Xenopus tropicalis: one gene and its partners. The protein of the gene in region 2 purifies or fractionates together with the protein of the main gene of each other region. This does not show direct contact. Links are inferred from orthologs where the notes say so. Each region holds a gene or a part of one and is shown on either strand. Other genes may lie near its edges.

Region 1 (7,688 bases), on a different chromosome or scaffold from region 2:
CATCATTGGTTTACCAGCTAACAAGTACTCTGATCTATAGTATACCTCACCTGCAACTGTTCTGTAAGTATGGTTTCCTTCCAAATGCAAAATTGACTTTTCACAGTATTTAAAAATGTTTTTTTTTTTGGTGTTGTACAATATGTGCATTTAAATGGACATTGCTTGCACAGCAAACAAATTCAAATAGATATCCCAAAAAAGGAAACTGGATACAGACATTGTTGCCTTCTGGAATATCTAATAATGATTTTCATATTACTGAATGTAAAAGTAGCTAAAATGGGAATGTATACATTAGGAACTTCTAAGTTAGGATTAGTAAATGCCCCAAAACCCTTACTGTCAGTATTAAAATGTGTTTGAAAGAGCAATGGAGAGAACCCAGAAGAATCCATTGTGTTTCCCATAATACTATGCATTAAGAGGCAAAAATAAAAATCCACTACTGTAGATTTAGTATCTCACGTCTATACTGCCCGTGCCCCATTGCTGTACTGTACGGCTATAGACAAGTAGTTATAGCAGCATTCTTGTTAGATAGAAAACTGCTTATGTGACATGCTGCCCAATGTTTGCTTAAGTATATGAAAATGTAAATATAGCCAAATATAAAAAGTATTGCTCATAAAAACAAACCATCTCCCTACAAATAAACATGTCCATGTGTCCAGGTAGTAAGAGATGTACTTACAATGTGAGAACTGTGCAAGGTGAAGTGGTTGCTTTGCTGTGTCTTGTGTGTGTAAATGCTGCAAAGTCTTACCCATCATACAAACCCTTATACCAACCATACAATGAGATGTTGTAAAGGGGAGCATTAGATTCAGCTGCAAGCCAGCAGTGGCAATTGCCATCACAATGGTGGCTGCAGTGGCAATAAGAACACAAAATTAATACACCCCCCTCACATTGCACTGTCACAGATAAGATTTAGCTCTACATTATAAAACTAGAAAAAAAATAGAATTTTAAGGATGGGCAACAGTTATGCTCATACAAACAGGAGATGCAAGTTGCCCCCTTTCCAAAAACAGGTAAAATAAAGCCAGTGATTTCTTGGAACAGGCATTAGCAAGCTGCTCAAGAAATGCGCCACCTGGCACTTGAACATAATAATGTTGCCCGTCCTGTAAGCCATCCTTGGTAGAACCCGGACTACAGCAATCCCAAGTGGGTAAAGAGAACTTTGAAGTAAATAAAGCTCTACAGATGCCGCTGCTTTAAGCATACCTTTTCTACAACACCAGTTTAGAGCAACAGCACACACAGCCCTTGTAGAGGTTTGTCCCCCATTACAATCTCCTGACTGTGACTGTACTGGCTTTATTGCACAGTGCATTAAAGCTGCTTAAGACAAACCCAACATCATTCCCTGAACCAACATCCTTGGGGCAATGTTTAATAAGATAAGACAGTAATAAGCAAATGTAAATCTGAGCAGGAACATTCCAAAATGGTTTACCTGTTACCTTTATTGTAACAGGTGGGCACAAACATTTGCTAATGTTTTTTTCCCCCAATTTTCTTTACACTTGGATTATCGCTTTACATTTCATTCTTCCACCCCCCCCCCCAAACTCACTAAAATGTTGCAACAGATCAGTACACCTCAAATTGCTACTAATTTCAAGTGCTTTCTATTTGAAGATTACGTTTCTGAAGGTGAACGTCTCTTTAAGGGAATGGTGAGTGTTACAAGGGGGATTACTGGAATTCGAGTGCCCACCCGAATGGTTCACAGTTACTTACCTTCTGGAACACAGCCCTTCATTGCAAAGGGCTTACAAAAGTAAAAACATTTTCTTTAAAATTGCTAAAACAAAACTAATTTTTTGTTAGAGAATTAAAAACTTACAGTGCATATCTCTTTCATGTTCATACTCAATGAAGGCATATCCACGGGGTTTCCCAGACCGCTTATTGTATACCATATGAATCTAAAATAGAAAGAAATTACATTTGTAAATGAAAACCGATTGGCGCCCTCGACACACCAATCATCCCATGAGTAAAGCTGTCAGCTAACAGATACTGTATAAGGCCAGAATGCTTTCTAGTTGTCATTTTGCATACATCAGCACAAAATCACCAACCACACACTATTGGACTCTCTGCTTTTAGAATTAGAAAATGAGACAAAACTTTCTAAACTATTTACAGACGGCTATGGAGCTTATGACTTATGCCATAACAGTATAAATAAATGCGTGAACCAGGCCAAACAGGTCATGTAGTACAACTAGAAAAGCTTGTCTTATTGTTTTAAGTGAAGTCAAAAATTTTTTTTTAACACGAACAATATACATACCCGTTTTATAGGTCCATACACCTCAAACTCACGTCGTAGCTTAGACTCTGTTGTATCATAATTCTGAAAAACAAATCATTCGGTTCATGAAAAATGCTATAGGCTTTTTTCCCCCAAAAGGCACCAGGAAAAGTCATATTTTCTGACCAAAACTCTACAGGGTTTAGCACCCCTCCTGTAGCTGAATTGGTGTAAAGATGTCAGGACTTGTTCAACATATAGCGAACCAAAGACATCATACCCCAATGGAGAACAGATTCAAGTATCGTCAGTGATATGCTAGAACATGCTCTAAAGGTGGCCATACACGTTAAGATCCGCTCGTTTGGAGAGTTCGCCAAATGAGAGAATCTTTCTCCCAGTACTCCCACCTAAGGCGGGAGATATCGGAGTAATCCAATCATTCGGCCAAACAACTGGATTACAAGATGGGAATAGGAGCCATCGGAACAAGGACCACATCAATGAGCCGATGCAGTCCCCGAACTGAAGGAAAAAAAAAAAAAACCTGCCCAATTTTCAGCCAGGGGTCCCCATATCGAGCCAAATCGTTTAAATATGCCGATCTATGGCCACCTTAAGACACTTAACTATAATAAAGGTATGCTACCTTAAGAATTTTGGAGCAAAGGTCTGTCTAAATCATTTATATAGCACTTTTCCCCCACAGCACTCAAAGTGCTTTTACAGCCAGCTAGGCAGCTATTACATACACCCTGGGACAGCAAGAGATTAAGTCCAAGGTCACAAGGATTTGCCAAAAGGAACGGAATCAAGGTCTCAAGCATAAGATCCTACATCACAGCCTCACCACTTAACCATATACATAAAAACCCACACACAGTTACCTGCTACCTAAATTTCCTGACTGCTACTACAGTGACTTAAGGATTATTCTGACAAGAAACACAAGAGCACAAATAAAACTTACCACTCTGGCAACAAAAAGGGTTTTGAAGGCATCTCCTTGAGCATTCTGATCATTGTGTGGATCCCCTATCAGGTGAAAAGAACAGAAATTAAAAACAAAATATTTTATGAACGGTCTTCCAAATATGTAATGTTGACTGAAAACATTGACAAACTAAGATAAACTCAATGATACAAACTATACTTTTCCAACTGAAAGACAGCATGGTAAATAAAAAGGGCAGAAAATGTTACTTGAAGTAGCACTTACATATTTTAAGTTCATTCTCGACATCCTGCTGTCTTCTTTCAATCTTCTCTCTTCGCTGTTAAAGTGATTTAAAAGGTTTTAAGGTAATTCACACTACAAAGCAGCTGCAGGGTCATTTTAGCACAACAGACAAGCCTACTATCATTTGAAAAAGTAGAAATAATCGCTGCAAAAAAAAAAAAAAAAAAAAAAAAAAAGGTCTGGCCAAGAGTTTGGGGCCACTCCACAAATGGAATGGTATTTTTTCACTTAACCAGAAAAGATGCAGTCTAATACAGAAGCTTCTGTTGGATGATAAAAGCAGAATCACTGTTCCTGACCACTTTCCCACCTACTATAGTAGAAGAGTGGATAATCGCAAAAACCTCCTGTATCATAAATCCTAGCTTGAGTCATTTAACTTTTATATATTTTGGTTGCTGACAAAAAAAATAATTTGAGCTTCCCAGTCAAGTAATAACTGTTCTTTTAAAATGTTTTTATCCGGTTTAGTAAATTCCAACTGAAGAACCTATATATGGTCCTGCTGCCCCCTGATCAATTTACTATATCTACTAACATCCATATCCACTTTGTAGTTTGCTAAAAATGGAAGCTCTTTCTTTTTCAGTGCAAAAACTGCTCTGTATATAAGAACCTCATGTCTAGTTGATTCTCTAAGCCCCATTTTGAACGTTATATGCCACTTGAAAAAATGACAGTGAATGTTTACAAACTTCTAGAGTTGTGGGCACACAAAGATAACCACAGAAAGAAATGTAAAACATCTATGCTCTCAAAAATACAGTATTATCAGTGAACATCTCACCTTCCTTTCCATCCGCTCCTCGCGGGTTTCTGCTCTAGTTGGAGGTGGAGCATCTCGAGGGTCCTGTGTACAATAACATTTATTATAAGATTTATGTAATTTCCTTTGCAGGTATAAATCATTTAGCGGGTTCATATAGCTGTGTACTCACCTCAAATTCTCTTATGTAAGGAGCAATCCCACAGTATGGCTGATTGTGGTGTTTTTCATGGGGTAGTTTATCTAAAGGAGGGAGGTATGGTACTGGATCTCTAGGTGCAAAGAGCGCCAACAAGTTTGGAGGCAAGAACTGTGTCATCCTGAAGACCTGTATAGAATAAGAAAAAATCAACTGAATAATGTTTACACAAAAGATATTTTAAGAACATTGAAATCATCTTTATGAAAATATAAATAGCTCCTAGGGCCAAATGATCTGATAATGACTGGGATACATGCCACTGGGGCGAGGTCCAGATCAATGATCCGATGCAGTCCTCGTTCTAACAGGAAAATCAACCATGCCCGATTTTCAGCCAGATATTGGCCAGAGAGGCCCATCGGAGAGCCTCATACACGTGCAGATAAACTGATTAATAGATCTGAAGGGAGCTGAATGGCTATCTTTACACTTAATTTTAATAACATGTATTAAATCTCCTCACATTTAATCTGCTCTATGACTTCAGTTTTGCACCTTATTTTAAATAAATTTTCTACTGTTGAAGGAAAAGTCAGTGTGCGCATGATCACAGCTATTGCTCTGTACCCGGAACTCCTCATTAGTCTATGTTTACACTTTTTGCAAGTGAAACGGCACACAGTCCAATCTGAAAGCAGGATTATTCCTTAATTTACAGCGTAAATGTCTTTATTCTGTATTTTTTGATCATTGAGATCTGACCCCCCAGCCCCTTTTTTCAGGGCTATAAAAATGTCATGACCATCCCTAAGTGCAGAGATTTAATTCCTATATACTCCCCATTTTATGATGGAATTAGACGCCAAGTATCAAAAAACAAACACCCCAGGGCAACCAGAGTACATTTCTTGCACCTTTATGTATTAATTGGCAAAGCATACTGGATCATTAAAAGGGGTGGCTCACCTTTAATTTAACTTTTAGCATGTTATAAAATGGACAATTCTAAGAAACTCTTCAACTGGTCCTTATTATTTCGCTTATAGTTTGAATTATTTGCCACCTTCTACAAACTCGTTGTAGCTTTCAAATGGGGGGTCATCGAGCCCCTAAACCAAGAAAACCTACTGCTCTGTGAGGCTACACTTTTATTGTTGTTACTTTGTCTCTCTCCTATTCAATTATCAGTCTCTCATTCCAATCATTCCCTGGGTGCTAAGGTAATTTGGAGCCTAGCAACCAAACCAGAGAGTTGACAAAACTATTGAAAATAGAAAAACTACAAAGAAAAAATTAAGACCAACTGCAAATTGTCTCAAACTAAAAGTTAACTTAAGGGTGAACAACCCCCTTTAACGTTCAGTATGATGTAGAGTTATTCTAAGAATTTGCAATTTTTTGCCTTTATTTTTTATTTGCAAACTCTGAATTATTTAGCGGATTGTTCAGCCGCTTTCTCTCAAAACTATTTGTTATACAGGGAGGCTCTTCTTAACCCCAATCACATACTTGATTTGTTACTGCCACTGGGTTTCTGACACTACAGTACCTGACAGACACCTTTACAGGCCAGGTAGGACAAAGGTTTTAAACTTTGCACCACACATGCAAATCTGGGGCATTGCTAGCGTATTACCATCACCTTGCAATAAAGGCCCTGAAGTGCGTGAATGCAGCCTGAAAGATGGCAGTGTGGCCAGGTGCAGGGGGAATGGTAAACAAGCGACTGGACTAAAGGGGGGAAAATTGCTCTCTAGAACCAATTCATTTACCTCCCTTTTCCTCCTAATTATGCACACAAAGAGGAATGCTGAGACGTACACACAACATTCTCAGCACTATACATTACTATAGGTACCAATATAAAGGGGAAATACAGGAAGGAGACAGGGGGCTACAAATACCCCAGGCCAGCACTACATACACCCACAGGTACCAATATAAAGGGGAAATACAGGAAGGAGACAGGGGGCTACAGATATCCCAGGCCAGCACTACATACACCCACAGGTACCAATATAAAGGGGAAATACAGGAAGGAGACAGGAGGCTACAGATACCCCAGGCCAGCACTACATACACCCACAGGTACCAATATAAAGGGGAAATACAGGAAGGAGACAGGAGGCTACAGATACCCCAGGCCAGCACTACATACACCCACAGGTACCAATATAAAGGGGAAATACAGGAAGGAGACAGGAGGCTACAGATACCCCAGGCCAGCACTACATACACCCACAGGTACCAATATAAAGGGGAAATACAGGAAGGCGACAGGAGGCTACAGATACCCCAGGCCAGCACTACATACACCCACAGGTACCAATATAAAGGGGGAATACAGGAAGGAGACAGGAGGCTACAGATACCCCAGGCCAGCACTACATACACCCACAGGTACCAATATAAAGGGGAAATACAGGAAGGAGACAGGAGGCTACAGATACCCCAGGCCAGCACTACATACACCCACAGGTACCAATATAAAGGGGAAATACAGGAAGGAGACAGGAGGCTACAGATATCCCAGGCCAGCACTACATACACCCACAGGTACCAATATAAAGGGGAAATACAGGAAGGAGACAGGGGGCTACAGATACCCCAGGCCAGCACTACATACACCCACAGGTACCAATATAAAGGGGAAATACAGGAAGGAGACAGGAGGCTACAGATACCCCAGGCCAGCACTACATACACCCACAGGTACCAATATAAAGGGGAAATACAGGAAGGAGACAGGAGGCTACAGATACCCCAGGCCAGCACTACATACACCCACAGGTACCAATATAAAGGGGAAATACAGGAAGGAGACAGGAGGCTACAGATATCCCAGGCCAGCACTACATACACCCACAGGTACCAATATAAAGGGGAAATACAGGAAGGAGACAGGGGGCTACAGATACCCCAGGCCAGCACTACATACACCCACAGGTACCAATATAAAGGGGAAATACAGGAAGGAGACAGGAGGCTACAGATACCCCAGGCCAGCACTACATACACCCACAGGTACCAATATAAAGGGGAAATACAGGAAGGAGACAGGAGGCTACAGATACCCCAGGCCAGCACTACATACACCCACAGGTACCAATATAAAGGGGAAATACAGGAAGGAGACAGGAGGCTACAGATACCCCAGGCCAGCACTACAAACACACACAGGTACCAATATAAAGGGGAAATACCCATAGGAACCTATATTAGGGAAAAACTGGGAGAATAGGGGCCACCAGGATATCAGCCCAGTGGG
Region 2 (8,383 bases):
ACATATTCTAGAGTGTAGGGTACATGAAGGAGTCGTCTTTTAAGGAGATGTCTCACTACCTCAGCAACAAGCTTGCATTCTGTTGAGCTACACCATGGTAGAACTTGGATCATTGCCACCAGAAAACCTTTACTAAAAAGGTTGACCTCCTCAGGGTCTTTGCTGTTGACAGAGAGAAGAGAAAGCATTTGGTTTTTCATTTCTGCAGATATGCAGCAACATTCCAGCCATGCCATAAGACCTGTGCCTGGTCCATACTCGGGTAGCTGAAGAGGAACCCATTCCCTCTCAGACAGTTTGCCAACGTCAAATAATGAAGATGGGACTTCGTTTTTAAAGTGTTTTCCAAATATTGGTTTTAGCCTCAAACATACAACCCAATCCAAGTTTTCCATTTTTTTATGCAACCAGAAGAGTGACTTGTTCCACGTTTCAGAGTTGTTTCCAGCCTCGGGCATGACTGCATTAATGATCAGTGTAAGAATGTCAATGATTAACTCTTTGGAGCCCAGTGTAAGGCAATGTGAATTCTCAGAAAGTTGCCAGCATTTTGTGTAGGAATTAAGAAGCTTACATAATGACATAATAAGTGGAAACGGGGAACAGGATAAAACCCAATGTTTTCCAGATTCATCCTCAGGATTCTGAACATTAAAAGCCTTATGAAGTATGTGCAAGCATAACGCAACATTAGCATATTCGTCAAAAATGTACGGGAGAACAAATGTTTGTATGACTTCAGCTGGCTGGAGAAGTTGGATAGAAGAATCCTTATCATTTACTTCTGAAGATTCCATCAGAAAGGCTAGTAAGGCTAAAAACTGCCTCTCTTCCTTATCAGAAGACAACTTACCCCAACAGGTTTCCATCAGGCACTCACACAACAGAGAGACTGTTTTTTCTGAATTATTAGGACACTTAAAGCATAAAGCTGGAAGGGAGCTCAATATCTTGGCTAAAAATGTATGAGCACCAACATTTACCACTGCAAAATGACAGGCTTTCTTTACTACTGCTTGCGGGTTCAGCAAAGCCAGTTTAGACACCTTTGAAACGGCCTGAGCAGCACTGTAATCAGAAAGGCTTTGGGAAATTTGGTTGAATGTTATATTAAGTTCATCTTGGAAACTGTCAGTAAATGCTTTGATAGATGGAGAAAGCCCTTTTCTGCCCCATAAGGATAAAACTTCTTTCAGCACTTCATTCTTCTCAGACAGTGAAAGTTCTGAAAAAATGCTTAATGTGACATCAGCGCCTTTTCGTACTGATCCAATATCCACATTACTTTGTAAAGCAGTAACTGTTACTATGAGATCCAGCAATTTTAATACCATTGCAGGGTCCTGAAAATGTGCTTTGTTTTTCTCAAGACAATTTAACCAGTCATTTGAGAAGGCCCAGGATACTTCTGAGGCGAAGACAGAACAAACTTCTTTGAAACGGTCCATTTTATTCTCAATAATTTTCATGGCAATAAAAGCCATCATTTCATTAGCATTAGAAGGACATCCATGTTGAACTTGGGTGGTTTTCTCTTGAAAGCTTGTAATGCAGTGTGCCAATTCCAGTACATCCCCTCTTTGTTCTTCAGGGTAGGTACCAGAATCTTCTAACGTTCTCAAGATTTTATGCAAAGATGCAAGGCTGTGTCTCATCCTGTAACATACATAGCCAACTACTTTGTTGTTATTCAAATAATGAATTAACTCCTCCCCCCACTGAAAAAGAAGGTCTTTGAGAAGGCTTAAACCAAAATGCTGAGCACCTCGTAGTAAGCGGAATCTTGAAGATGTGCTTCCGCTCTGCACCATCCTTTCTGCTACTCTAATCATATCAACATCTCTGGATCCTTTTTCACAGAAGGAAAGCACTACTGCAAATTGTTCTAAATATGATTTTATGGGCAGAAGCTCAGACTCCTTTTCGAGAAAGGCTGAGGAGCATAACATTTCAGCTAGATTTGCAATAGTAAAGCACCTCAGCTTGTTGGTAGCAACACACTGTTTCATTTTATGAAGCCCCTCTAGAAAAACAGCAAGGATATTATCGGCTTGATTTAAAGTCTGTTCAGGATCTGACTTAAATCTTTTGGCGCTCTGTGATGGTTCATCACTAGACTTTGGTAAGTACTGGGAAACCACAGAGGAAAATAACACAAGAGTTTCATTTTGCTCATCACTCTTGCTTTTCATTACCTCCCACCAGACATCTAAAAAAAAATCAACATCCTCTACTGAAGTCTCTTCACAAATATGCTGAAGTAGTGAGGTGGCCCCTTCAGCCCAAATGCCAACTGGAAGTGCCAACAGCAATTCTGCACAAATGTCTGCTGCTTTCATTGTTTTGAGCAGTTCAAAGAGTACAGTTTGACTTATTTTGGGGATCATGTTTTCCACTGGAAAGAAAACATCCTCTTTCCATTTCCTATCTATGTCAAAGTGTGAAACGGAAGTCAGATCTGGCGTGCAACAAAGTGTTCTGGCCCAAAGTATAGCAATGGCTCTTCTCCGCCATTCTTGATGTTGAGGTGGAAGACCTGAGCTTATTTCCTTGAAGGCCTCTGTGATTGGTTTTTGAATAAGGGGCCAGTCAGACTTCTTTACCTCCAGCAATGTTTTTGGATGGCAAAGTTTTTCAGCCAATAAAAATGCACCCTGTAGAACCGCAGTTTGCTCACACACATTCCAGCTTCCTACAACAAAAATAAAGCAAACAGTCAGGATACTAAACGTACAGTGCCTGCACATTTATTAGTTGTTTGCTTTGCTTTAATTAAAAACGGTATTTGTCATGGCACCCACTGTAATGAATAAAATGCTGTTGTTTTGGCAACGTCACAGCTCTGTAAAAACACATTCCTTTTAAGCATAAAATATTGTTATTTCACCACTTATATATCTTACTAATAATCAAGTTTAAAAAAAAAAATAGAAAAGGATATAGAATAAGGTTATAGAATAAAGGACTAATTTTTGTAGACCTGATGCCGCGAGTGCTTTCTATGGACACAGAATGCTTTGTTGGTCAGCACCTTATTTTTTGTAGACCTGATGCCGTGAGTGCTTTCTGTGGACACCAGTATGCTTTGTTGGTCAGCACCTTAATTAAGATGTTATACATCTTATAGTTTCTTAAGTGAGTGTGGACTTCTTTGTTTCAGCCTGAGCTCTCTATCACCCTCTTTTTAAAGGAGGTATAGATTCCAGTACCATGAAGCTAAGCTGTTCGGATGTGTGGCCCTTCTCACAAAAATGTTTAGAAATCGGTAGTGTAGTATTTCCTAAGTTAATAGCTGACCGATGTTGTGAAATACGTGATTTTACTGGAATCTATACCTCCTTTAAAAAGAGGGGGTGATAGAGAGCTCAGGCTGAAACAAGGGGAGGTGTGGTGGATTAATAAACTACATTACTGCATCTTAAATACCCTTTCTATAGCCATGTGAAAATAATAATCTTATAAACACCATTGGCAATAGAAATGCACAAGTAAAACAATAAATACATAGTTACTACTTACCAAAATCCATTGTTTTGATTGTTTATTAAGGCACGAGGGTGACCATCTAACCCTACAAAACAACACATAAACTGTTACTGGCATAAATATAAAATGATTAAACTGAAATGTAGGCGTAACATGCTATAACATGCTTCACTTGCAAATGTAAATAGTACAGTATAATTATTAAAGACGTGGGATTTTTAGGATATGCTGCAATTATCATAACCATATCATAGTGTATATTTTGTAAACCTACAATACACATCCTTGGGTTTAAGGCTTATGGCACACAGGTGGTTATTTTCTCTGCTGCCTTCTGGTCTGGGTGCATGCTGACAGGCTGACTAGTACACGGTGTGGAAGGTAGCGGATTGGCTTTTTTTTATTTGTACATATATGCCAGCAGGCCTAGACCCAAAAATCAGATTGCCAGTCTGGGCCTCATATGGAGTGCATTAATGTGTCACTTGCATGTGTCTATAACAGTCTATGTTATTTTACGTGGTTTAACGGTCTCTCATGCAGGCCCGGACTGGCAATCTATGTACTACTATGTACATGTGCCAAATGCCAGAGGGGCTGCTGTATGATGCTATAGACAGTCACTATTCATTGGGCTGATGGGGGTCTGATCAGACCTATGTGGTTAAAATGCCAGGGCAAATTTTGAATCCCAGACTGAGCCTGCATGATTTTTATTTTATTTTTTTTTTGATGACCTTTCATTTAAATAGAAAAGAAAGACAGAATCTATGTTGCAAGCACTCTGCCACTGAATCAGATTCTACATTGTTAGTAGGGAATGAGTTAATAGACATGTGATAACACTGCTCTCCCCCAGGGGCCCAGAATATATCCCACTGTGCTCCTCCAGCACCCTTGTACCCATGCCCATCACAATGATTTATATTCCCTCATCCAACACATCTTTCTCTGACTTCATTGGCAGGGACAGGGCAGGTGAGCCTTCACGAATAAAAGCAGCAAGACGTTTTTACGTTCAGAAGGTTGGTAAGAATGGAGAGGCTGGCGGAGAGTGAGCCCCACATTCCACCCACAAGTGGAGTAAACTATTGGCCATAACCCACAGGTTTGGGATTACTCTGTGTATCACTACTGTACATAACCCACTTCTGTATGTATCCCAGTGTGCTCCCATCTGTTGCTTCCTTCTGTGGATAAGCCCATGCAGCTCCATACAGATGCTTTCAGGAAGTTCACATGTTGCACCCACATGAACTAGATGTTGGTGGGCAGGAGGGACATAACAGACAAGAGTCCAGCTCCAATCCCTGCTAGCGCTAAACTCCTGCCTGGTACCCACTGAACTGCTGCCTATCTAGAGAGCAGGATATCTGATATGCAAGCCTGGGGCCCCAGGGTATATAATAAGTGAGAAAGGTGCAGCACTACATTGGGAAGGGTGTGAAGAAAGTGTGCTTGAAATAAAAAGCCCTGTGCCGGGTGACTAGAAAAGCATTGTGGGAATGGTACAGGGCTTCTGGACAGTGCAGAGTGATCCCAGGCCTGTGGCCCCCGAATTTCTGCAATAATAGCAGACCCCACACCTGTGGCCCCCGCTGCATGCTGCTGCACTGAATCAAGCGATTTCTTCTAACCATGAGGTGAAGGCGATGCGAAGAAAAATTGCTGCAGAATTCAATACAGCAATTCCGGTTCCTTTGAGCGCCAGGAAGAAAATGAGGGGAAAAAGCCGCTAGCGAAGAAAAGAATTCAGGAGTAGCGAACACAGCTACCTATACCTTAGAGCGCCAGGAAGAAGCCGCTTGCAAGTAACGTGCGGTCGCTATGTGACGTCACTTCCGAAGACCTGAAGACCAGGAAGTGACTGAAGGCAGCGCGTACTTAGGGAGGAAGCAGGAGTTGTCAGGTTTTGTAAGATGGCAAATCAAAGTCTCTCTCTGTAAGTTTTCTTTACTTTTATTAGTATAATAAATTGCTTTCTGCCCGTCCCCTTTTGCTATCAGTTTGATCATTTCCCCTCCTCTCTGTATCCCCCCACGCCCCTTCAGAAACTCCACCCACATTTTTGCCTAATATAAGAAAATGTAATTCTAGCCAATTGTCTAATACACTACAATTAACCAATTTAAATAGTTTTAAAGTTCTATTTCAGCATTATCTTTCTGTTTAGATTCCTCTGCACTGCTGTTTTTGAAGCAATATAACAAGCAAGCTGATTACCAGGCACAGAGGGGAGGTAGTTCCTGCTACTTAAACAGTCAGAACTAAAGAACAGAAAGCAATGAACAATTAACTGCTTTTAGTAGACATTATATTTTATGTATAACTTTTAAACCCACTTAAAATTAAGTGATGCATATTGAAAAGTTCTTAGCATAACACCTTTCAGTATTCAAAGAGATGTACTGATGTACGTCTAATGTAATATGGATACCAAGATACAGAAACAAATCTACTCACACTGGGGGTGAATTAAGATGAGGGCACCTTTTTAAAAGTTAAAGTAGGGCCCAGATTATCAAGATATGCCAGCATATAACCTGCATACAGTGATATTTTTTTCACTAAGGTTGACAACTGTAAAGCCTACTGTGTCTGCTGCGTTGCGGATTATTCTGCAAGTGGCTCTATGGCCAGACAAAGCAGGAAGGACAACAATGGGCAGCCCTGCCTTGTGCCTCACTTTAAGGAAAAGGCTGTGGAGAGCATATTATTGACCCAAATTTGTGCCATAGTTGAGTGGTATAGCACCTGTATCCAGAAGAGAAATTGAGATCCAAAGCAACCTGTTAATATAGGTTGTTGTGGCCAAGATAAACCCACTTTGATCAGAGTGTACCAGATCTTTCATATAAGGCTTGATCCTATTAGACAGCATGTTAGCTAATATTTTTGCATTGCAATTAATAAGTGATTTCAGTCGACATGAAGAGCAAAGTCGCAAATCTTTCCCTTTCTTGGATATAATGGTGATATTTATAGGCCTGCTTCAGTGAGTCGAGTAACAAGCCCCTACTTGCTACCTCATTGAGCAGGTTGGTTAAAGGCGATAATATCATGGTTAAATGATGTTTTATAGAATTCAGTTGGTAGGCCATCTAGGTCAGGGGTCTTGCTTGTGGAAAGTGATAGAATACTAATCAAGATGGCTGCAGTTTAAAGGACAATGAAAGCTTAATATAAATTAAAAGTAAGTCTAAAGGTATTCTTTTTAAGTACTTACTGCATATCTAAATTCCTAGATCCCTGCTTGCTTCTCTGAGATATGGTGCTGGCAGCCTACGGCAGTGTGAAGACTACAGTGACATCACTGAAATCTCTCTGTCCTTCCTGTAGGTGCCAGCGGCAGCCTTCCTATTCTCTGAGCATGTGTGTAACTTGATCCTGTCTCCTGTTCTGAGCTACACATGCCCACCAGCCAATCAGAAGTGGATCTGGCAGAGGGGAGGGGGGGAGAGAATGAAACACATGTGCAGTATGAAGCAAGGAGGGAAAGGAAGGGAGAATACCTTTTTAGAGATGGCTGCCTGTACTAGAAAATGTGAAGTAAGTGTGACTGAGTAAATATTTGATTAGGTGAGCCAAAAGTGTGGCGTTTTTACTAAACAATAGGAGGACTATTGGGCAGTATGCTTTCTAAATTTTGACTTGCATTCTCCTTTAACTTAAAGTTGTTAGCTTAAAGTTGCAGTGATAGCTGCAAGTTGTACTAGGCACAACTTGCAGCTAACAGAAATTCTCATTACAAAAAGCTACTCAGTGGTATTCCTATAGTACAGCAGCATAAGTCAAATAACACAGTTATAAATTTTTTTTTATTTAAACTTTTATTTGTTTAAACAATGGTACCAAGTTTATACACTCACTAGCAATTTTTAACATCACTGTCAAATACAAACACTGTAAGCAACTGCAGATTATGATGAAGGCAGGAGATTATAAAAATGACATATAATTGGTTTTCTGTTATAGTGACAAATGGCAATCTTTACCTTAAGAATACAGGGAGTTGTAGTACCAAACAAGCAGAGGCGGATTTAGATAGCTCAGGTCCTTATTCTGACGTCAGGTCTAGTTTTTCTGTAGGTGTCAATTTTTAATTATAATCTTATAATGACTAAGCACAAGGTGAAATTGTAGCGTGTTGTTCATCTCTTAAAAAATATTTTGGATGATGTGACCATGTACTGAATCATGCTTCCCAAATAATGCTCTGAATCACAACATATACTGTATACAATGCTTTTTATATTTTACATTATGATTTGGAATGACCTGATGAGACACATCATGGTCTCCTTCCAGCCTTGCTCTTAAGCGGGCTCTTTACAGGGCTGTCATGCACAAATGAGCCCTGTACTTAATATGGTTAGTGCAGCCCTCCATAGTACATAGCAGCTCCAAGCAATTTTCTGCTAGTAGGCAAGCTAAAGGTGTTCCAGGAGGGCCACAAGCCACCCTTCCTGCTAAACACAAACATTTCTGCTAACCTCTCAGCCAAACACAGGCAGCACAGAGAAATATTTTTTTTTTGTACACTACTCCAGTTGCACCTCAGTGTTCAAACAGAAGATTGAATTTTGCAAAAATGCAAAAAAAACCCCAAAAAACATTTGTGCCCATTTTTTGGACTTTGCCACAAATTCATAACTAATTCATATAATAAATTCAAAACCAAAGTTTTGTAAGGATAGATTTCACGCATTAGAATCATGAGACGGCCACCATGTTCCATTTGTGTAGCTGAATTAGGCCAAGTTCTTCCATTCTGCACTGAAGCTTATTATTGTAATGTTCAGGCGGTATAAAATATGTCACGTTCACCTAGGCAGAAGGCTTCTGTCTACTGTGTTTTGCAAACCATTCTGCACTCTTGTCTGCGTCCATAGCCTGA
Region 3 (7,688 bases), about 37 Mb from region 2:
ATTCCATTACTACATTAGCAACTGCTCTGAAAATGTTGAAGCTTTTACATTTCTAGCCCTAAAAATAAAGAAAAATGGCTAAGTGCATGTAAATTGTAACTGCTACAGCTTCAATGTTTTTAAAAAAATTGGGCGCTAGTGATAAAAATGAAAGAATAACCCTGCTTTCTTCTTAGAATGGATTGTGAATTCCAAGACTGAAGAAAACAAAATTTATATTATTTACATAGTGTGAGTGAAGATTATTATGTTTGTAAGAAATCTCAAATTATTTTCTATTGTCTTTGTCAGTGACAGGTCCCCTTTAAAAAGCAAATAAAAAAAAGCCATGTAGTCTTTTTATAGAGTAGAACAGGGGATAGAGTTGCCATGTGTAGGCATACCCAGTGTCCATACTACGTAGGCAAAGTAGGCACACCTACAGAATAGTGCTGGGCGGTATACACCGAACACCGTTTTTTTTTTTTTTTTAAAATGATAAAAAATTTTAACTTACCGGCATACCGGTGTGGGCGCCTCCTGGCAATTTTTCTTACTATTTCCGGGTTGTGCGCGCTGACGTCACGTGCGCAACCCGTAAATAGTAAGAAAAATTGCCAGGAGGCTCTGTGAGCTGTCGGGGGTGCCTGCGGCTGCCTGGCCCGTAAGGTTTATTTATGTGAAGGGGATGGGGGTTGTTTGGGGTTGGATGGGGGGGTGTTTGGGGTTGGATGGGGGGGTGTTTGGGGTGGTCACCTAATCATGCATGGGAAAAAAAAAATACCGTCAAATACCGTGATACCGATATAATAAAAAAAATACCGTGATATAAATTTTTGGTCATACCGCCCAGCACTACTACAGAATAATACTTTACAGTCAACAGATTTAAGCACACACCAAAGGTAAAGTATTTATAATTTACCAAACCGTCCAGCTCTTCCAATTCGATGCATATAGGTTTCCCAGTCCTCTGGAACATCAAGATTAATAACCAGATTCACCCTCTCTGCATCAATCCCCCGCGAAGTCTTTAAAGAAAGAAAAAAAAAAAAAAAAGGTTCTGCCTTCACAGCCTTAGAATAAAAAGCAAAAACCTTTGTCCGTTGTTTATACTTCTAATACATGAGAGTTGATTTTTATATTTCAGCCTACAAAATGTGTTTCTAGCCTTGAGGGTCCTTTTTAACAGTAGCCACTTGACACCTTCAATTAACTTCCAAGTCTAATGCAGAATGAAAATCCTAGCAATTACAGTTCAATCTTACCGAACTCTTCCTAGCTATCCTTCAGACTAATAAGATACTGTTTGCTACAGTCAAGAATTCTACAGTGAATTTATTCTGTTTGTACTCACATTAAAGTGAATCAATAGAGTGTGCAGAGCTCTACAATGCAACAGTTCTTTGTAATTCATTTCTTTTTAGCACTTCCAAAATGAAAGGCAGCAAGTAATTATCAATAACTACAGCAGGCTATGTCAGGGACCTCTGTGCCTTCCACTGTATCAAGGGATAATCCTAGTTTATCAAAAAATGGCGTCTGTGTCTTTTAGATCAAAAAGTTTTACTCTTTTTCAATAAATTATACTAGCTGCCTTTTTTAAGAGAATTCTGCATGTTAAAGCCCAAATCATTATCAGGTTAGTCACTTACTAAATCAGTAGAAATTAAGACCCGGCAATGGAACTGCTTGAGTTTGGCCACAGCATCCAGCCTTTGGTTTTGATTCATGCTACCTAGAAATACCAAAGCTGCATTAGTAAGGTTGCTAATTAAAAACAGAAATTAATAAATTCACATTAAAATAACCCAAGGAATACAGGATAGAGTTTTTTGCCACACTACTGTACATTCTGGCACAGCTTCTAGTCTATTTGCAGTGAAGGATATAGTCATCTCTACATAAACATAAGGATATACTGTAAATTTGATTTGTTTTTATTTTATAGTTATTAATTTGTATTCCACTTCTCATTATTTCAGACTTTTAAAAAACTATCGCTCTGGAATGCTACCATTTTATTGTTTCATTTAATTATCTATTGTTCTATTCAGGCTCGCTCATATTTATCATACTGAAACCACTGAAAGGTTGCAAAGTAAATTTGACCCTAGCAACCATGCTGCTGACGTTTTAAATTGGGAAGCTGCTGAACAAAAAGACAAATGGCAAATCTTATTTTTAAAACACCATACTAAAAGTTTATTTAAAAGGCCGCTTTCAAGGGATACTTAGAATAGGTAAGAGATCCCTCAGTGGAACAGGTAAGCTACCAGCTTGCTTTGAAGGACTTGCATACTGTTGCCCATGCTTAATGGATTCTCTCATCATTTTTACAGTATAGTTTTTAATACTATATTACACTGTTCACATTGAAAATAATTCATTCTACCATTTGTAATTAATCTTAATTGTATTTCATTTAGCTGTATTATTGGCGTGTAGGCAGCCATCTCAGAGCATGTGCCTCATCCTAGGGTTCAAAAAGAGCCAGCACTACACAAGAGAACTGAACCTATTTATATACTAAAAAAAGCTCATAAGAACTATATTAGAGATAGCCTGGTAAATTCATTAGGTGAAGAAAAGCATAACAAGTGCCAACAAGTGCTGCAAACCAAAAGGCATTAAATTAAAGTCTTTTAAACAGACATTTTCTTACCAGATATGCACACTGCTGGGAAGCCTTTAGCTGTAAGAATATTAGCCAAGTGCTGAGCCCTGTTATTAAAAATTAAAAGAAGAGGAAGACATCAGCATCATGTTTATAGCAGCTATTAAAACAAAATCATTTTAATAAAAACACTAACAGTGATGAATCCTCTATTTTTGAGTTTTTCATGAAGGAAATTCAAACTAAAGCCAAACTCTAATTTGCAAATGCAAATATGCATGTAGGAGTTACAATGAACCTTCTTTACGTAACCAAAAGTCACATGATTTTCTACGGTTGAGACCAGTGGCGGGCCAAGCCAACCGGGTGCCCTAGGCAATCTGCCCCGCTTGGCCTGCCCCAACCAGGACAATGCATTTATTATGGTTGAACGTGATTTTTTCAACCCAACTTACTATGTTACTATGAAATGCACACACGTGGTGGCGGGGTTGCTGCAGTGGGGGGTAAAAGAGGTACCAGCCTGGCATGCACAAAACCAACTGGTGTGAAAAGTGTGAACTTTTTTTTTTTTTTATTTGGCTGACTGCCAAGTCATCCTCTGGGACAACACACAATGCAGAGAAGAGAGGGCTTTAGCAGCTCTAGTCCTGGTCTGTAGCTTAAAGACAACATTCACATTTTTGTATGCAAAAAAAAAAATCATGATTAGCACAAAACAAATATGAATCACAGAAAAAATGACCATTGACAAAGCACTCCCTTAGATGCCACTAAATCCTACTAAAAAACATTTTGATTTGGCCAAACACCAAATCGAATCAGAGATTTAGTGCATCCTTACACCCTTGGTTTTGTGATAATGCAGCAGCAAGAAAAAGCCAATAGGATATGTGCCAGATCTTCCATTGTCAGACTAATGCCAACTCAATTTTCATGTATGCATTTTTGGGTCAACATCCCTCCATGTGCAAAGTGATAGGTGGATGCAACTGGAGCAAACAGCAAGAGCTGTGTCAGGCGTTTTCCTACCAGCGGAGCATCTTCCATATCAGACATTATAGTAGTGGGGCCAGTCTTATTACCTGCTATGGAGATTTGAGAACACCAAAGCTTGATTGAAAGAAATTCTGTTGAACAGCTCTTGCAAATGCATCACCTTTTCGTCAAAAACCTTGTGTGGCAGTGGGTGCGATTTCACAACTTTATAAAACTGCTTCAAACCTAAGCCAAGCAAAAATGTATGTATAAAGTTACACAGAGCAAATGAAAGTAGAATATACAATGAAACCTCAATTTTACATACTATGATTACAACTGTTTACAGTTTTTTCTGGTCCCCTGAAAAAATGGGGGTTCTACTGTATTTCTAAACTGCTAGAAGTTCATCCAAGTAATTTAACATACACACCAAGGAGGCTGGGGTCGGTTACATTCAACCTTACAAATGTAGGCTCTCTCATGTATCTTGTCAGTGCTTTTGCTAAAGATTCCGGGTAAGTGGCTGAAACAGCTAGCATTTGTTTGTTAGCAGGAAGAGAGGAATATATCCAGCTGAAAAAAAGAGAAAACAAAAGTTATATGCAATACATAAGTTTTTCATGCAAAATGACAGCTATTTTATGAGAAGACCATTAAACTAATGGTTAGCTTTGATATATTTCCTTTACATATAAACTGGGTAGCCAGTATGCCATATACTTCTACCTCCCTTTAAAGCCTTTGTATAAATCTCCACGTCCACCACATATAAACATCATATGTATTATAAGGCATTTGTCATCCTATACTCAAAAGTATAAGGGTGGCTATCCTTTAGGATACAGTGGCTTGCAAAAGTATTCGGCCCCCTTGAACTTTTCCACATTTTGTCACATTACAGCCACAAACATGAATCAATTTTATTGGAATTCTACGTGAAAGACCAATACAAAGTGGTGTACACGTGAGAAGTGGAAGGAAAATCATACATAATTCCAAACATTTTTTGCAAAGTGGGGTGTGCGTAATTATTCAGCCCCCTGAGTCAGTACTTTGTAGAACCACCTTTTGCTGCAATTACAGCTGCCAGTCTTTTAGGGTATGTCTCTACCAGCTTTGCACATCTAGAGACTGAAATCCTTGCCCATTATTCTTTGCAAAACAGCTCCAGCTCATTCAGATTAGATGGACAGCGTTTGTGAACAGCAGTTTTCAGATCTTGCCACAGATTCTCCATTGGATTTAGATCTGGACTTTGACTGGGCCATTCTAACACATGGATATGTTTTGTTTTAAACCATTCCATTGTTGCCCTGGCTTTATGTTTAGGTGAACCTCCGCCCCAGTCTCAAGAGGTTTTCTTCCAAGATTGCCCTGTATTTGGCTCCATCCATCTTCCCATCAACTCTGAACAGCTTCCCTGTCCCTGCTGAAGAGAAGCACCCCCAGAGCATGATGCTGCCACCACCATATTTGACAGTGGGGATGGTGTGTTCCGAGTGATGTACAGTGTTAGTTTTCCGCCACACATAGCGTTTTGCATTTTGGCCAAAAAGTTCCATTTTGGTCTCATCTGACCAGAGCACCTTCTTCCACATGTTTGCTGTGTCCCCCACATGGCTTGTGGCAAACTGCAAACAGGACTTCTTATGGTTTTCTGTTAACAATGGCTTTCTTCTTGCCACTCTTCCATAAAGGCCAACTTTGTGCAGTGCACGACTAATAGTTGTCCTATGGACAGATTCCCCCACCTGAGCTGTAGATCTCTGCAGCTCGTCCAGAGTCACCATGGGCCTCTTGGCTGCATTTCTGATCAGCGCTCTCCTTGTTCGGCCTGTGAGTTTAGGTGGGCGGCCTTGTCTTGGTAGGTTTACAGTGCCATACTCCTTCCATTTCTGAATGATCGCTTGAACAGTGCTCCGTGGGATGTTCAAGGCTTTGGAGATCTTTTTGTAGCCTAAGCCTGCTTGAAATTTCTCAATAACTTTATCCCTGATCTGTCTGGTGTGTTCTTTGGACTTCATGGTGTTGTTGCTCCCAATATTCTCTTAGACAACCTCTGAGGCCGTCACAGAGCAGCTGTATTTGTACTGACATTAGATTACACACAGGTGCACTCTATTTAGTCATTAGCACTCATCAGGCAATGTCTATGGGCAACTGACTGCACTCAGACCAAAGGGGGCTGAATAATTACGCACACCCCACTTTACAGTTATTTATTTGTAAAAAATGTTTGGAATCATGTATGATTTTCGTTCCACTTCTCACGTGTACACCACTCTGTATTGGTCTTTCACGTGGAATTCCAATAAAATTGATTCATGTTTGTGGCTGTAATGTGACAAAATGTGGAAAAGTTCAAGGGGGCCGAATTCTTTTGCAAGCCACTGTATATGTTTAGTTAAAGGACTTGGCAATTGGTGATTTGGTGATAACACTCTTACAATTTCCATATGCATGAATATCCTGTAGATATCCTTATAAATGGTGCTTAGTGCTTTAATTTGTGACAGTACCACAAAGGTTAATTGTTAAATTACTGGCTGGAGGATTACAAAGCATGGTAGTAAATGAAACATTTTCTAATTGGACCGGTGTTGTTCATGAAGCACCGCAGGGCCTTTGCTTTTTAACTTGTTTATTAATTACCTTGAGGTGGGCATTAAAGGCACTTTATTTTAGTAGAGGATACTATATTGTGCAAAAAAGAAATACTGTAAAAAAAAAAAAAAAAAAAAAAAACCCCAAAAGCACATCAAATCCTGCACTGAAATCTGTTTTTCAAAAATGCAAAGTTTTTTTTCTATTTAATTTTGACATTTCACATGAGGCTAGCCATATTCTTTACTTCCCAGTGTGCTTCAGCCATGTGAACATTGCTCTGATAAACTTCAGTCACACTTTACTGCTGAGCTGCAAGTTGGAGAGATATCACACCCCCTCCCTTTTCCCCCCAGCAGCCGATCAGCAGGGAAGTCTACTGGGAAGGTAAAATTACTGGCTGGAGGATTACAAATGGGAAGGTAACAAGATAGCAGCTCCCAGTAGATATCAGAATAGCACTCAATAGTAAGAAATCCAAGTCCGGACTGCAACTTCTCCAATTACATTACAAAGCGGTTCTAATGTGTAGCACTGGCTACATCTGAAAGCACAGACTCAGGCACAATGCACTGAGATGGCTGCCTACACACCAAAGGGCAATAATACAACTAAAGAAAACTACATTTGTTGGTTTAAGAATAAAAATTTAAATGGTAGAGGGTAATAAAAAGTGCACCATAAAAAATTAAGTTTCATGCAGGATTCTGCCACTTTGCAAAGCAATTTGACTACATTGGAGAACTTGGCAGCCAAATGAGGTCCAATGTTATACACTTTAGTGTATAAGTCTCATTTGTTATTTCTACTAAATGGCAGTATGTTGGGTAAATCCTTAATTGAAACGGATCTGGGGATTTTTGTAGATAACAAGTTGTCTAATTCCAGGAAGTGTCATTCTGTGGCTACTAAAGCAAAAAAAAGTAGTCTTGCATTAAAAGGGCATTGACTTGAGAGATGAAAACATAATTTTGACTCTTCATAGATCTCTGGCCTTACCTTGAGTATGCAGTCCTTAAGAAGGATATAAATGAGCTGGAGAGAGTGCAAAGACGTGCAACTAAACTGGTAAAAGGGATGGAGGTTTTAAACTATAAAGGTTGACTGTTAAGTTTAGGGTTGTTTTCTCTGGGGAAAAAGGAGCTTGAGAGGGGACATGATTACTCTTTACAAGTAACTTAGAGGTTATTATAGACAAATAGCAGGGGAGCTTTTTTCCCCATGCACCAGAGGCCTAACTTTAGATTAGAGAAACAGAACTTTCAGTTGAAGCAACGTAGGTGGCTCTTCATGGTGAGGTTGTGGAATACCCTGCTGAGTGACGCTGTGATGGCAGATTCTAATAATGCCTTTATGAGGGGCTTGGATGATTTCTTGAACAAGCATAATATCAAAGACTATTGAGATATAGATATATATATATATATATATATATCGGCACTATCTGTTAAACTTGAGGGACTTTGATCTTTTTTTTAACCCAACTTAACTACGAAACTCTCTTTAT

The links. Proteins that work in one complex are often made in the same cells at the same time.
Region 1: the proteins of gemin4 (region 2) and snrnp70 purify together in Homo sapiens (affinity purification with mass spectrometry; 5 studies listed by BioGRID and IntAct, counting the BioPlex papers as one, with this or other methods). This does not show direct contact. The link is inferred for Xenopus tropicalis from reciprocal best matches to the Homo sapiens genes GEMIN4 and SNRNP70.
Region 3: the proteins of gemin4 (region 2) and ddx20 purify together in Homo sapiens (co-immunoprecipitation; 7 studies listed by BioGRID and IntAct, counting the BioPlex papers as one, with this or other methods). This does not show direct contact. The link is inferred for Xenopus tropicalis from reciprocal best matches to the Homo sapiens genes GEMIN4 and DDX20.

The regions. Positions count from the first base shown.
Region 1 is NC_030683.2:113,683,106-113,690,793, reverse strand, and holds part of snrnp70 (U1 small nuclear ribonucleoprotein 70 kDa), read right to left. Parts: intron 4,607-7,688; 5' UTR 4,598-4,606; coding exon 4,451-4,597; intron 4,363-4,450; coding exon 4,300-4,362; intron 3,547-4,299; coding exon 3,492-3,546; intron 3,308-3,491; coding exon 3,243-3,307; intron 2,375-3,242; coding exon 2,312-2,374; intron 1,941-2,311; coding exon 1,859-1,940; intron 1-1,858. UniProt on the Homo sapiens protein: Component of the spliceosomal U1 snRNP, which is essential for recognition of the pre-mRNA 5' splice-site and the subsequent assembly of the spliceosome. SNRNP70 binds to the loop I region of U1-snRNA.
Region 2 is NC_030678.2:96,475,106-96,483,488, reverse strand, and holds the start of gemin4 (gem-associated protein 4), read right to left. Parts: upstream 5,420-8,383; 5' UTR 5,268-5,419; intron 5,261-5,267; exon of another isoform or gene 5,073-5,260; intron 5,066-5,072; exon of another isoform or gene 4,636-5,065; intron 3,572-4,635; 5' UTR 3,530-3,571; coding exon 3,520-3,529; intron 2,693-3,519; coding exon 1-2,692. UniProt on the Homo sapiens protein: The SMN complex catalyzes the assembly of small nuclear ribonucleoproteins (snRNPs), the building blocks of the spliceosome, and thereby plays an important role in the splicing of cellular pre-mRNAs.
Region 3 is NC_030678.2:59,579,201-59,586,888, reverse strand, and holds part of ddx20 (probable ATP-dependent RNA helicase DDX20), read right to left. Parts: intron 4,151-7,688; coding exon 4,008-4,150; intron 3,821-4,007; coding exon 3,682-3,820; intron 2,704-3,681; coding exon 2,645-2,703; intron 1,718-2,644; coding exon 1,635-1,717; intron 1,011-1,634; coding exon 905-1,010; intron 1-904.